3 linked regions of the Tamandua tetradactyla genome follow. The protein of the gene in region 2 interacts with the protein of the main gene of each other region in a pairwise test. Links are inferred from orthologs where the notes say so. Each region holds a gene or a part of one and is shown on either strand. Other genes may lie near its edges.

Evidence for each region.
Region 1: the proteins of TSC22D1 (region 2) and APLP1 interact in a two-hybrid assay, tested with the Homo sapiens proteins (2 studies listed by BioGRID and IntAct). The link is inferred for Tamandua tetradactyla from reciprocal best matches to the Homo sapiens genes TSC22D1 and APLP1.
Region 3: the proteins of TSC22D1 (region 2) and CCDC90B interact in a two-hybrid assay, tested with the Homo sapiens proteins (2 studies listed by BioGRID and IntAct). The link is inferred for Tamandua tetradactyla from reciprocal best matches to the Homo sapiens genes TSC22D1 and CCDC90B.

What each region holds. Positions count from the first base shown.
Region 1 is NC_135342.1:30,106,283-30,110,029, reverse strand, and holds the start of APLP1 (amyloid beta precursor like protein 1), read left to right. Parts: upstream 1-1,152; 5' UTR 1,153-1,248; coding exon 1,249-1,395; intron 1,396-2,306; coding exon 2,307-2,450; intron 2,451-3,177; coding exon 3,178-3,307; intron 3,308-3,500; coding exon 3,501-3,613; intron 3,614-3,747. UniProt on the Homo sapiens protein: May play a role in postsynaptic function. The C-terminal gamma-secretase processed fragment, ALID1, activates transcription activation through APBB1 (Fe65) binding. Couples to JIP signal transduction through C-terminal binding.
Region 2 is NC_135330.1:114,319,686-114,323,432, forward strand, and holds the start of TSC22D1 (TSC22 domain family protein 1), read left to right. Parts: upstream 1-876; 5' UTR 877-956; intron 957-1,210; exon of another isoform or gene 1,211-1,411; 5' UTR 1,412-1,591; coding exon 1,592-3,747. UniProt on the Homo sapiens protein: Transcriptional repressor. Acts on the C-type natriuretic peptide (CNP) promoter. Acts to promote CASP3-mediated apoptosis.
Region 3 is NC_135334.1:61,280,909-61,284,655, forward strand, and holds the start of CCDC90B (coiled-coil domain-containing protein 90B, mitochondrial), read left to right. Parts: upstream 1-1,296; 5' UTR 1,297-1,773; coding exon 1,774-1,873; intron 1,874-3,747.

The sequences.
Region 1 (3,747 bases), on a different chromosome or scaffold from region 2:
CCACCTTCCTTAAATGTCCAGGAAGAACTGGACCCAAAGAGTGGAAAGGGTGAGAACAATCATAGGAGGTGAGGAGTTGTGGGATGAAGAAGAATTTGGGGATGAGAGTATTTATGTTTAATAAAAAAAAGTCAAAAGAATGAAAGCCATTTAGGGACCTTCCCAACATTATTCCCCTCCATTGAGGAGAATGTCCATTGAACCTGCCATTACCCTAGCCTATGAGGTGAGCCACCCCCCAGCACCTTGCTACTATTTGCCCTGGGCTCTCTTAACTCTCTCGGTATACATCTATACAACCACACATGCAGATGTGCACACCCAGAGTCGCATACATAGAAAGAGGCAAGTGGGCACGTACCCACAGACAGACACATACATGCATGTGCACATACATGCCTACACGTGACGGGGCTGCTCCCGTGTGCCTGGGGAAAACTATACTATCATCTGAGGAGTCAAAGAAAGCAATGAGTCCTGAGGGGGATGGGGAGGCCTGTCTTTAGAGCAAGGATAGGGACACAGACCACTGCCCTGAGATGCTGGGGGCCTAGACTTGGGCCATCCTTAAAGAAAGGGACTGGGGGCTTGAGTTCATGGATCCTTGAGCTAGAAGGGAGTTAAAGGTGCAGACTCTTGGACACCAGGGTCCAGAAGGAGGGGCCGGAGGCTTGGCCTCTGGTTCTAATAAAGGGGCCTGGGGCCCAGACTCCTGGACCTGAGGGAGGAGTGGATGGGTCTCAACTGTTGTGTTCTTGATGGTAGACATTTTGGAGGCTTGTATTCCTAAGACTTCAAAAGAAGAATTCGTGGGGGAGAAGGAACGGGGGTGTTCTCAGATGCTGGCATCCCTGGAAGAGGGAGAAGCTGATTGGGGGTCTCTGGGTCTGAGGAAGACGAGAATTCCTGGGTCCTCAGGGAAGACTCAAAATCTGTGGAGCCCATGACCCCCACAGACTCCTGGTTGGGCCCTTGCCGGGGGCGGAATGCCTGGAATCTCGAGGGGCGGGGGCCGGCGCACGCTCCCACTCGGGGTTCCGAGCTGCTCCACGCTGCGCAGAGCTGCCACGCTATTGTCCTGGCCGGGAAGGCGGGGCCGGCGCGGGGCGGGGCTGGCGGCGCCGGCGCAGCTCAGCAGCGGCGGCGGGAGGAGGCGGTGGTGGCGGTGGCGCTGGGAGCTCCTGTCACCGCTGGGGCCCGGCCGGCCGGGCGGGAGTGCAGGGGACGCGAGGGCGCGAGGGCCGGGACATGGGGCCCGCCAGCCCCGCCGCTCGCGGTCTGAGCCGCCACTGGGACCCGCCGCCGCTGCCGCTGTGGCTGCCGCTATTGCTGCTGCTTCTGCGCGCGCAGCTCGCCGCCGGGAGCTTGGTCGGTGGGAGCCCCGGCGCGGCCGAGGTGAGGCCGGGCTGGGTCGGGGGATGGGGACAGGGGAGGGACGGAGCCTTTGGACCCCGAGGCGGAGACGTCACGGAGACTTTGGACCCCGAGGCGGAGACGTCCAGGGCAGAAAACGTAGTCTTTCCAGTCAGATGGCCAATCCCCAGGCGTCCCCCCTAGCAGCCCTAGGCATTCATGAACCCTGGACCCAGAAATGGGGGAGACCCCAGCTCCCCCATCATCTGACGTCCCAGGCTTCCTCCCTTCCTCCAGACATAGGAATTGGCTTTTCCAGACCCCTGAACGCAGGTGTCCAGCTCTTCTAAGATCCCCAGATTCTCCCACCTGAGCATAGGACCCACCAGGCATCAGGACACTGGATTCAATATCCAGCACCCGGCATCCTCTGGACCCAAATGAGGGCCCCAGGATCTAGGAGTGCAGGCCTCTAGGCCCCTATCCCGATGTAATATGTAGCTCCGGGTTCTCAAGGACTTAATGACCAGGCCGCCGGGCACTGAAGGCGGGCCTTGGCGGTCTTTGCACCTAAGAATGGATGCCTGAGCCAGGATGGAGGGAGGAGGGGCCAGAACGCCTGGGTTCTGGCCTCCTCCCCCGCGATCCAGGTTTAACCCTTTCCGGCTCCTGCGCGGCTGCGGCGGGGTGGGAATCGAGCCTGTCTCCGCGGCAACAGGGCCGCGAGAATCCCGGGGGACCCGGGTCGCCATAGCAACGGGAGAGCTGGGGCGCCCCCGCCCTGAGGGAGCTGTTTCCTGGGGAACGGTGCCTCCAAGAAGGCGGGTGCGCGGTGCCTGGGGGAGGGTCTGGTGCTGGGGGTCTAAATATGTGGGCCCTGGGGCATGAGGGGCTGAAGGACCATATGCCAGCGTCCCACGGGTCTTTAATGACCTCTCTGCCCGTACCCCCAGGCCCCGGGGTCGGCCCAGGTGGCCGGGCTATGCGGGCGCCTAACCCTTCACCGGGACCTGCGCACCGGCCGCTGGGAGCCAGACCCACAGCTCTCGCGACGCTGTCTCAGGGACCCGCAGCGCGTGCTGGACTACTGCAGACAGGTGGGCGGGACCTGCTGGAGGGACGTGGTCAGCGGGGAAGCGGGGCCAAGATGGGGCGGGGTCACCCATAAAAAGCTAGATGTGCAAAAGGCGTGGTCCTGGGCGAAACAGGATCTTAGCAGGCATGGGAAGCTAGGGGATGTGGCCTAATAGAGAGGTGAAGCTAGGACAGGGCAGAACCTGCTTTGAGAAACTAGTTCAAGAAAAAAGTGAAATCCATGCAGAGACGGCCCAACTAAGGGAGTTGGGGGATTACCCAGTGAAGAGGCAGTACATTGCAATCCTGGTGGGCCCACGCCTTATGGGTGGGCGTGACAAGGAAGAAGCAGGCCTAAAACAAAAAGAGACCTTATGGGCCCCCAAAATGGGAAAGGAGTGAATGACAAGGAGAGAGTGGGTAGGAAGCATGGCTTTGAAAATGCAGGCCTAATTCGAAGAGAAGGGATACTTATGGATAGACCAAACAGAGAAAGAGGTGGTACTTAAAGAAGGGGACTGTTGGGAGGTGGACCTGATAGGGGAGTGACCAGAGGAGAGGTGGGGCTTAGAGGGTGGTGCTTGCCTGCAGGTCTGGCGGGACTGAGATAATGAAGGCGACTTCCAATGAGAAAAGCAGGGCCAAGGCAGGCTGTCCTTCTGAACACGGAGCCTTGAAAAGGGACATGGGCAGAAGTGTGGCCAGCAGGGGCAGAGCAGTGTGTTGATCATCCCCCACTGGTATCCCCAGATGTACCCAGAGCTGCAGATTGCACGAGTGGAGCAGGCAGCGCAGGCCATCCCTATGGAACGCTGGTGCGGAGGTGCCCGGGGTGGCCGTTGTGCCCATTCCCCCCAGGTCGTGCCCTTCCGTTGCCTGCGTGAGTTACTGGCTGGGGGCTGGGGGGAACCAAGGCGGGGTCTCCCAGGGGCAATGTTCTGTGCCCACATTAGGGGTCTGGGTGTTTGGGTTTGGAGTGAGGCAGAGAAGCCTCTGAGGATAATATATGGACTCTGGGGAGGATGGGTTGGAGGCTGCCAAAGGGTCCCATCCTGGGGCCTCTCATTCCACAGCTGGAGAATTCGTGAGCGAAGCTCTGCTGGTGCCTGAAGGCTGCCGGTTCTTGCACCAGGAGCGCATGGACCAGTGTGAGAGCTCTACCAGGAGGCATCAGGAGGCACAGGAGGTCAGGACCTAGCCCACCCAACCCTGCCAGACTCCTAACACTGGACTCCGCTAGAACCAAGACTCTTGATCCACACACACACACCTGCCCCCTTTTTCCTGAAGACACAAGAGTGGGGTTCCCAGCTCTTTCTT
Region 2 (3,747 bases):
TCGCTCGCTCTGCGGAGATGCTCCCCAACCCCCCACCCCCACGACGACGGCGCCTCCGCCAGCCTTCGGCAATCTCCGCGGAAAGACCGAGCGACCGGCAAGGCCCGAAGACCTGCCGCCTCCTACCCCGCCAGACCAGGCTTTATGTCTACGGCGCCGGGGCGCATGCGCAGACGCCATCTTCCCTCCTTCTCCGCTCTTCGCCCCCTCCCCTTCCCCCGCCACCGCCTCCTTCTCTAGCCGGCGGTCGCCCCTCCTCCTCCTCCTCCTGCGCTCGGGCGCTGGTCCCTCCTCTCCCTATGCCGCGAGAGACCCGGGGAGCCGAAGAGCACTAGTAACAACCCCCTCAGTCCCCCGCCCGACCCCCTCCCTCAGCACCCACCCACTCACCCGCCCCGTTGGCCAACACCGAGCGGCCCCACCTCTCGTTCCTTTGAGCGGCGTCGGCTGCAGTCGCTGCACCAGCCCGTCTGGCCACCGAAGCTGCCGAGAAAGGAGTCGCCGCCGTCGCCCGGGGCTCTCCCGCCCCGGTCCGGCAGTAGCCGGGTGAGGACAAGCCGGCTGCGGAGGAAGAGGACGAGAGCGGCTCGCACCCCTCGGCGCTAGCCTACGGCCCGCCGCCCCCTGGGGAGGCTCGGGCGCCGGCCCCTTCCTCCCCGAGGACGCGTGCCGAGCTGAGGCGCCTGCCCCGAGGGAGGAAAATGCTCGGGCTCCATGGCTGCCAGTGATGGAGCGCTCCTTTGGCTCCGGCTCGCACCGCCGCCGTCGCGCCCCGGCCGCGCTCCGCGAGGACCCGGCGCCTCTGCGCGCCCGCCCGCTCCTCGTTGCCGGGCTCACCGTACCGGGCGCCCCGCCGCCGCCGCCGCCGCTCAGCTCGCAGCCTCGCCGCCTCGGCCCCAGCCGCGGCCAGCGTTTCCCCTCGGAGCAGCCGCCGCGAGCCCAGGGGGTTTGAAAGGGTCCGCGGGGCGTGGGGGGAGGGCGGAGCGGGCGCGACGGGACTGGGAGGGGAGGTTTGAGCGCCCCTGAGCTCGGGGCTCGTCCGCGACGGCGGCGCCGACGAGAGGCGGGCGGGACTCGCTCCGCGCCGTCTTCGTGCAGCGCGGCCGGGAGGGCTTTGCAGCCGCCGCTGGCGCCGCGGCGGGAGGAGCGGGTGGAGGTGGCTTCCGAGTTGGCGACTTGGCCGCGGAAGGTGGGCATCCCTCGGTCTCCTCTCACCCCCAGCCCCGCTCCCCTCCCCCGCTCGCTCGCTCGCTCCCTCCCTCCTGCCCCGCACCCCACGTGAAGGGGAATATAAAGGGGGGGTGGGTGGGGTGTGAGACTAGAGGGGAAAGCGAAGGGCGAAGGACTGAGGGGTCCCCCCTTCGGGTCCCCGGCAGCCTTGTTCACCCTCGTTCGTCCTCCCTTCCCGAAGCTCGCCCCCGGAGGCAGAAGCGACCGGCGCCTGTGCCTTCGGCTGAGGAGGAGGAGGAGGAGGAGGAATCGAGCCAGGCGGAGCGTGGGGTCCGGTTTTCCTCTCCGGCGTCTTGAATACAAAGATTACGGTGCAGACGGAAATTGCACTTGCCTCCTCCGCCCCCCAGTACCCAACACAATGCACCAGCCGCCGGAGGCCGCCGCCGACGTGAGCGCTAGGAAGATGGCGCACCCGGCAATGTTCCCGAGAAGGGGTAGCGGCAGCGGCAGCGCCTCTGCGCTTAGCGCAGCAGGTACCGGCGTCGGGAGTCATGCCACATCTGCCGAGGATCTGCCGCCCCCGTCGCTGCTCCAGCCGCCGCCCCCTGCAGCCTCTTCGTCGGGACCACAGCCTCCGCCCCCACAAAGCCTGAACCTGCTTTCGCAGGCTCAGCTGCAGGCACAGCCTCTTGCGCCAGGCGGAACTCAGATGAAGAAGAAAAGTGGCTTCCAGATAACAAGCGTTACTCCAGCTCAGATCTCCGCCAGCATCAGCTCGAACAACAGTATAGCAGAGGACACAGAGAGCTATGACGACCTGGATGAATCTCACACGGAGGATCTGTCTTCCTCCGAGATCCTTGACGTGTCACTCTCCAGGGCTACTGATTTAGGGGAACCAGAACGCAGCTCTTCGGAGGAGACTCTGAATAACTTCCAGGAAGCCGAGACACCTGGGGCCGTCTCTCCCAACCAGCCCCACCTTCCTCAGACTCATCTGCCTCACCTTCCACCGCAGAATGTTGTGATCAATGGCAGCGCCCACCCCCACCACCTCCATCACCACCACCACGGTCATGGGCACCACCTCCACCACGGGCACCACCATCCCGCACACGCCGGGGTGGCCGGTGCACCCATCCCTGGAGGACCCCCCACCAGCCCAATAGCCAGAAAACTCTCTACAACTGGAAGCTCGGACAGTGTTGTACCAGCTGCACCAACTTGTGCTGTATCATCAAGTGGGTCACCTGCATCTGTAATGACTAATGTCTGCACTTCGAGTACTCCTGGCGGTCTAGGTATACATTCTGTTCCTGGCACTAACACAGTGAATAATGTAAACCTTCCTGCTGTGGGTGGTTTTAATCCTAACGTGGCCAGCAGCATGCTTGGGAATGCTAATGTAAGTACGAGTAATATTCCCAGTGCTGCTAGTGTGAGCGGTGGGCCCGGAGCTGGCATTAATGTGAATATCTTGAGTGGCATGGGCAATGGAACTGTCTCTGCCTCCGTTGTGGGTAATATCCCTAACGTGGCCGCTGGGATGGCTGTGGGACCCATTTCCAGTCAGCAGCCACAACCGATGGTCAACACATCCAGGTTCCGGGTCGTTAAGTTAGATACCAGTTCTGAGCCCTTTAAGAAAGGCAGGTGGACTTGCACTGAGTTCTACGAAAAAGAAAACACTGTACCTGCCACCGAAGGTGTGGTGGTAAATAAAGCAGTGGAGACGGTAAAACAGAACCCAGCAGAGGTGACTTCTGAGAGGGAGAGCACCAGTGGGAGTTCCGTGAGCAGTAGTGTCAGCACACTGAGTCACTACACGGAGAGTGTGGGAAGTGGAGAGATGGGAGCCCCTGCCGTGGTGGTGCAGCAGCCACCACCACCACCAGCTCCTCAAGGTGTGGCCCCTCAACAGATGGATTTCAGTAGCACTGGTCCACAGAGTATCTCAGCAGCAAGTATACCACAGAGTGTTTCTCAGTCACAGATCTCCCAAGTACAATTACAGTCTCAAGAATTGAGCTATCCGCAAAAGCCAGGTCTTCAACCAGTACCTCTGCAAGCCACTATCAGTGCTGCACCTGGTATCCAGCCATCGCCTGTTAACGTTGTTGGTGTAACTTCAGCTTTAGCTCAGCAGCCTTCCATTTCCACTTTGGCTCAACCCCAACTGCCATATTCTCAAATGGCTCCTCCAGTGCAAACTCCCCTTCCAGGGCCACCACCCCAGCAGTTACAGTACGGACAACAGCAACCAGCTGTTCCTACACAGATGGCCCCAGGCCATGGTAAATCAGTGACTCAAAATCCCACTCCAGAGTATGTACAACAGCAGCCTATTCTTCAGGCGGCAGTATCCTCTGGACAGCCCAGTTCTGCAGGGGTGGGAGCAGGAGCAGTGATCCCTGTGGCTCAGCCCCAGGGTGTTCAGCTGTCAGTGCAGCCCCCAGCAGTCCAAGCACAACCTGCAGGGGCATCTGGCCAGCCCATGGGCCAGGCTCCAACAGCAGTGTCTGCTGTACCGACTAGCAGTCAGATGGTAAACATTGGTCAACAAGCAAACATACC
Region 3 (3,747 bases), on a different chromosome or scaffold from region 2:
TGTACTTTCCTGGCCCATTTGGCAGAATATGATTGCTCCTTGCTCCTGAGCTTACTTGCTATAGTTCCATACAGCTTTAGGACACAATTAAGAATCTCTGAATCCAACTGACAGTTTCATGAAAGTAAAAATGATTGGCCCAGCTTTGGTCAGGTGTCTAATCAATAGTATGTATGTGCATTGGGAAGAGAATTTTATAGTAATAAATAATAACCAACATGTTAACACATAAAAAGGTGTACCTTTATTCATAATCAATATTTCATTTACGGTAAGCAAAAATATCATGGTTCCCATTTAATGCTCTGTATTTCCCACTAGGCTATGAGCCCCTGCAGAGCAGAGATCATATTATGTAGCAGAATTGAAATCATACTGGACATATATAATTAAGTATACACACACATATATTAGCATTATAAAATTTTGCCTGTCTTTTTAAGTTATCACAATATAATACTTAATGATGATATAATATTCCCACTTGGTACATTTCTGCATTGTTGAATCATTTTTGGATATTGAGATATTTTCCATTTTTCACTATTATAAAAAAATACTGATCATCATTCATACAAATACTAACTGACAGATGTGACTATTTTCTTAGGCTAGATACCTAAAGGTGAAATTCTGGTTATTCGTTTTTTAAAGATTCATATATATTATTGAACTATTGTCCAAATATGTGGGATTAATTACACTCCTGTCAGCACTGAGCATTATCATTGTTAAAAAATCTTTGATACGTGAAAATGGTATGTCTTTATGTTTCGTTTTGTTTTGTTTACATTAGTGAAATAGCTATTTATACTTCCTCTCCACTAATTGTTCAAGTCCTTGCTGTTTGAAATCAAGTAGTAGTCTTCTTTTAACCTGTGTCAGTACTGAGAATGGTGTTTGTTACACAGCAGACCCTCGTGGGGTGTTTGAATACATATAGGTAGGGAAATCTAGCAATAGCTGTTCACATCTTTGTAAGAATAATTAAGCTTCTAAAGCCTAATAATTGAGTACCATTTAGGATTTACAAAGAACATTCACTTATATTATTGCATTTCGTCACCATAATTGTGTATTTTATTTTCAGCATTCTGCCATGTTGAGCAGTCTAGGGTAACTGAGGTCTGACAGGTATAGGGCTGAAAATTAAGACGACCGTGGAAATGGACGAATTTCGGTTTCCCTGAAGAGGATCAAGTCAAACCTAAAGTTCGTCCTCCTGTGCACCAGAGGGCAAAGCAACCAGGACGATGAAGGAACAAGAATGAATATCTCCCTTGATTACATTTCCCAGGGGTTCTAGTGGCCTCGGGGTGGGCGATTCCCAGGAATGTTCAGTGGCTGAGAACTACAGGTCCCAGATTGGTGTGCGGCCGGACCCAATTCCGTTTCCCACCAACCCAAGGGCTTAATGGCTGGTGGTTATCGTCGGGAACTTGCTGTTGGACTGCACCTCACTACCAAGAACTGGGTGCCGGAAGCTTCTCCAACAAGGACCCGTTTTCTTAGGGCGGTAACGGCGTGCACGGGTCGGGAAAGGGCGGTGGGAGAAGCCGAAGCAGCTTTGAATCATGCGTGTGAACTGTTGGTCCACTTGTAAAACGGCCCAGCTTCTCGGTACTGCGGTGAAAGCCAGTGTTAGGAATTGTACATCCGTCAGGCCGAAAACTACATTTCCCAGCATCCTTGCGATACCAGACCTGTCCTTCCCGAAAGCCTGAGCGCGACTATACAGATTTCCACTTCCTTTCTTCAAACGGGAAACAGGATATGAGGACTCCCTGGGCCTGGCGGCTCCTTGGCTTTGAAGGCAATGGAGGCTGCCGGGTTTCTTTCCCGCGCGGGCGTTTCTCGCCGGCCGTAAAGAGAGGTGAGAAAAGGCACGGTCTCAGCGAATTCCGGGCTGCACTGTAGGGAAATAATGCTCGTATGTCGTACCTGCTCGGGCAAGTGGGAGGCGTGGGCGCCACGCCCCCCAACGCTGCCCGCAGTCTGCGCGGGGCGTAGCGATCTTGTTGCCTCAGTTGCTTCCGCGCCCAGGCCCGCCTGGTAGGACACGGGGTCGGGAAGGACAGAGAGTAGAAAGAGGACCAAAACTCTTTGTGCTCTGAAAGCTTCGGGTCCCTGCCCGTCTTCTGAGCTCGTTTCCTTTTCTGTTAGAGGGAGCTGGTAATCCTTGCATTCTTGCAGATCTCTTTAGAGCAACCATCTAAGGATTGATGATTCTGGGGATTCTGATTTTTCTAGTGGCTTGCCAAAACTTACTCTGTGTTAAGTACGGTTCTCAAGCCCAGGTTTTTGCAGCATGCGTTTCAAGATACACCCGCCTTGTTGTCACTTTGCTATCATGTAGCTATTCAGAAAAAAAAAAAAGCAAATGCTGACATCTCTGTTTTGCAGCGTGTACAGAGATGGACATCTGACTTGATTGTATAAAGACACTTCTAGGATTTTTAGAAAATTGAAATAGAAAAGATAAAGTGTTTGCCTAGTAAGGTCGTAGAGTCACTGATGGTTATAGAGTCACTGATAGAATCAGGATGAAATAAGTGTTGAATGTTTACTGTGTTCAAGTAATTTAAACTTGCCTAGTAGTGTCAGTCATCAAGGAATTTGGAAACCTTGACACTTCAGATATGTGAAAGAATCTTGGTTATCATTTCGTCCAGTTCTCTTTTTTTTTTTTTGCATGGGCAGGTACCGGAAATCCAACCCGGGTCTCCGGCATGACAGGAGCAAACTCTGTCACTGAGCCACCGTGACCCACCCACAAGGGAAGCTTTAAAAATTAAGATTCCCAGGTCCTACTGCAGAACTGCTGAGTCAGTCTCCAGGGAAGGGCCCATGGATTTCTGTATTGAGTTTTATTATTGAACTTACGAATCCTCATAATTCTCGTGTGACTAGTCTAGCGCATATTAACAGGCTGGCATTTGGGAATATATACTTTGATGCCTGTTCTTTAAGTTGCTGACAGAAGGATGGTGTCAGCCATATCATTCAAGTATTTCAACTCTCAAGTTCTAGTAAATTAACATAAAACTAGAACTTAGATTTAATGATACCGTTTTATATATTTTTTCGAAAGTAAAATGTGGCCTATTTCTGATAAACAGCTTGACTCAAGATGGGCCAGAGTGTCAATCCAAGTTGTACTACTACTGATCACTCTGCTTTTCCAATTTATTATTGCCTCCAAAGAGAAGTGAAACCCTTCAAAGTGGAAAGTAAAGATGGACAGTGTCAATACCTACCTACCTTATAGAATTGTGAGAATTGAACAAAGGATTACATGACTATTTGAACAAATTAGGAAGATATGTTCTACATATCCTTCCTCTGTATACACCTCACTTTCCCTCACACCCATAGTAAATAGAATCCAAAGTGTGAGTAGTAAAGGCAGCCCATGCCTCAATGAATTTTGCTGTGTACCTTCTGTCAGCATAACTCCTCTTTAAGATTTAATACAGCTGTAGCATTATTTCCAAACAACTATTTTTTTAGCCTTTATTCTTAGGGTCAGTATCCCTCCTCTGTATTCTCTATGGATATATCGTGATACTACATCTTTTGAGAAAGAAAGCACCACATTGTTATTCATCATTGTATCCATAACACCTCAAACAGTACCTTTCATTTAACAAATATCAGTGGAGTACCAGGATTTGTGTTAGGCTTTGGGAATCCATTCATGAGCAAGAACAGATATGGCCTTTACTCTCAAGGACTTTATAGTCTAGT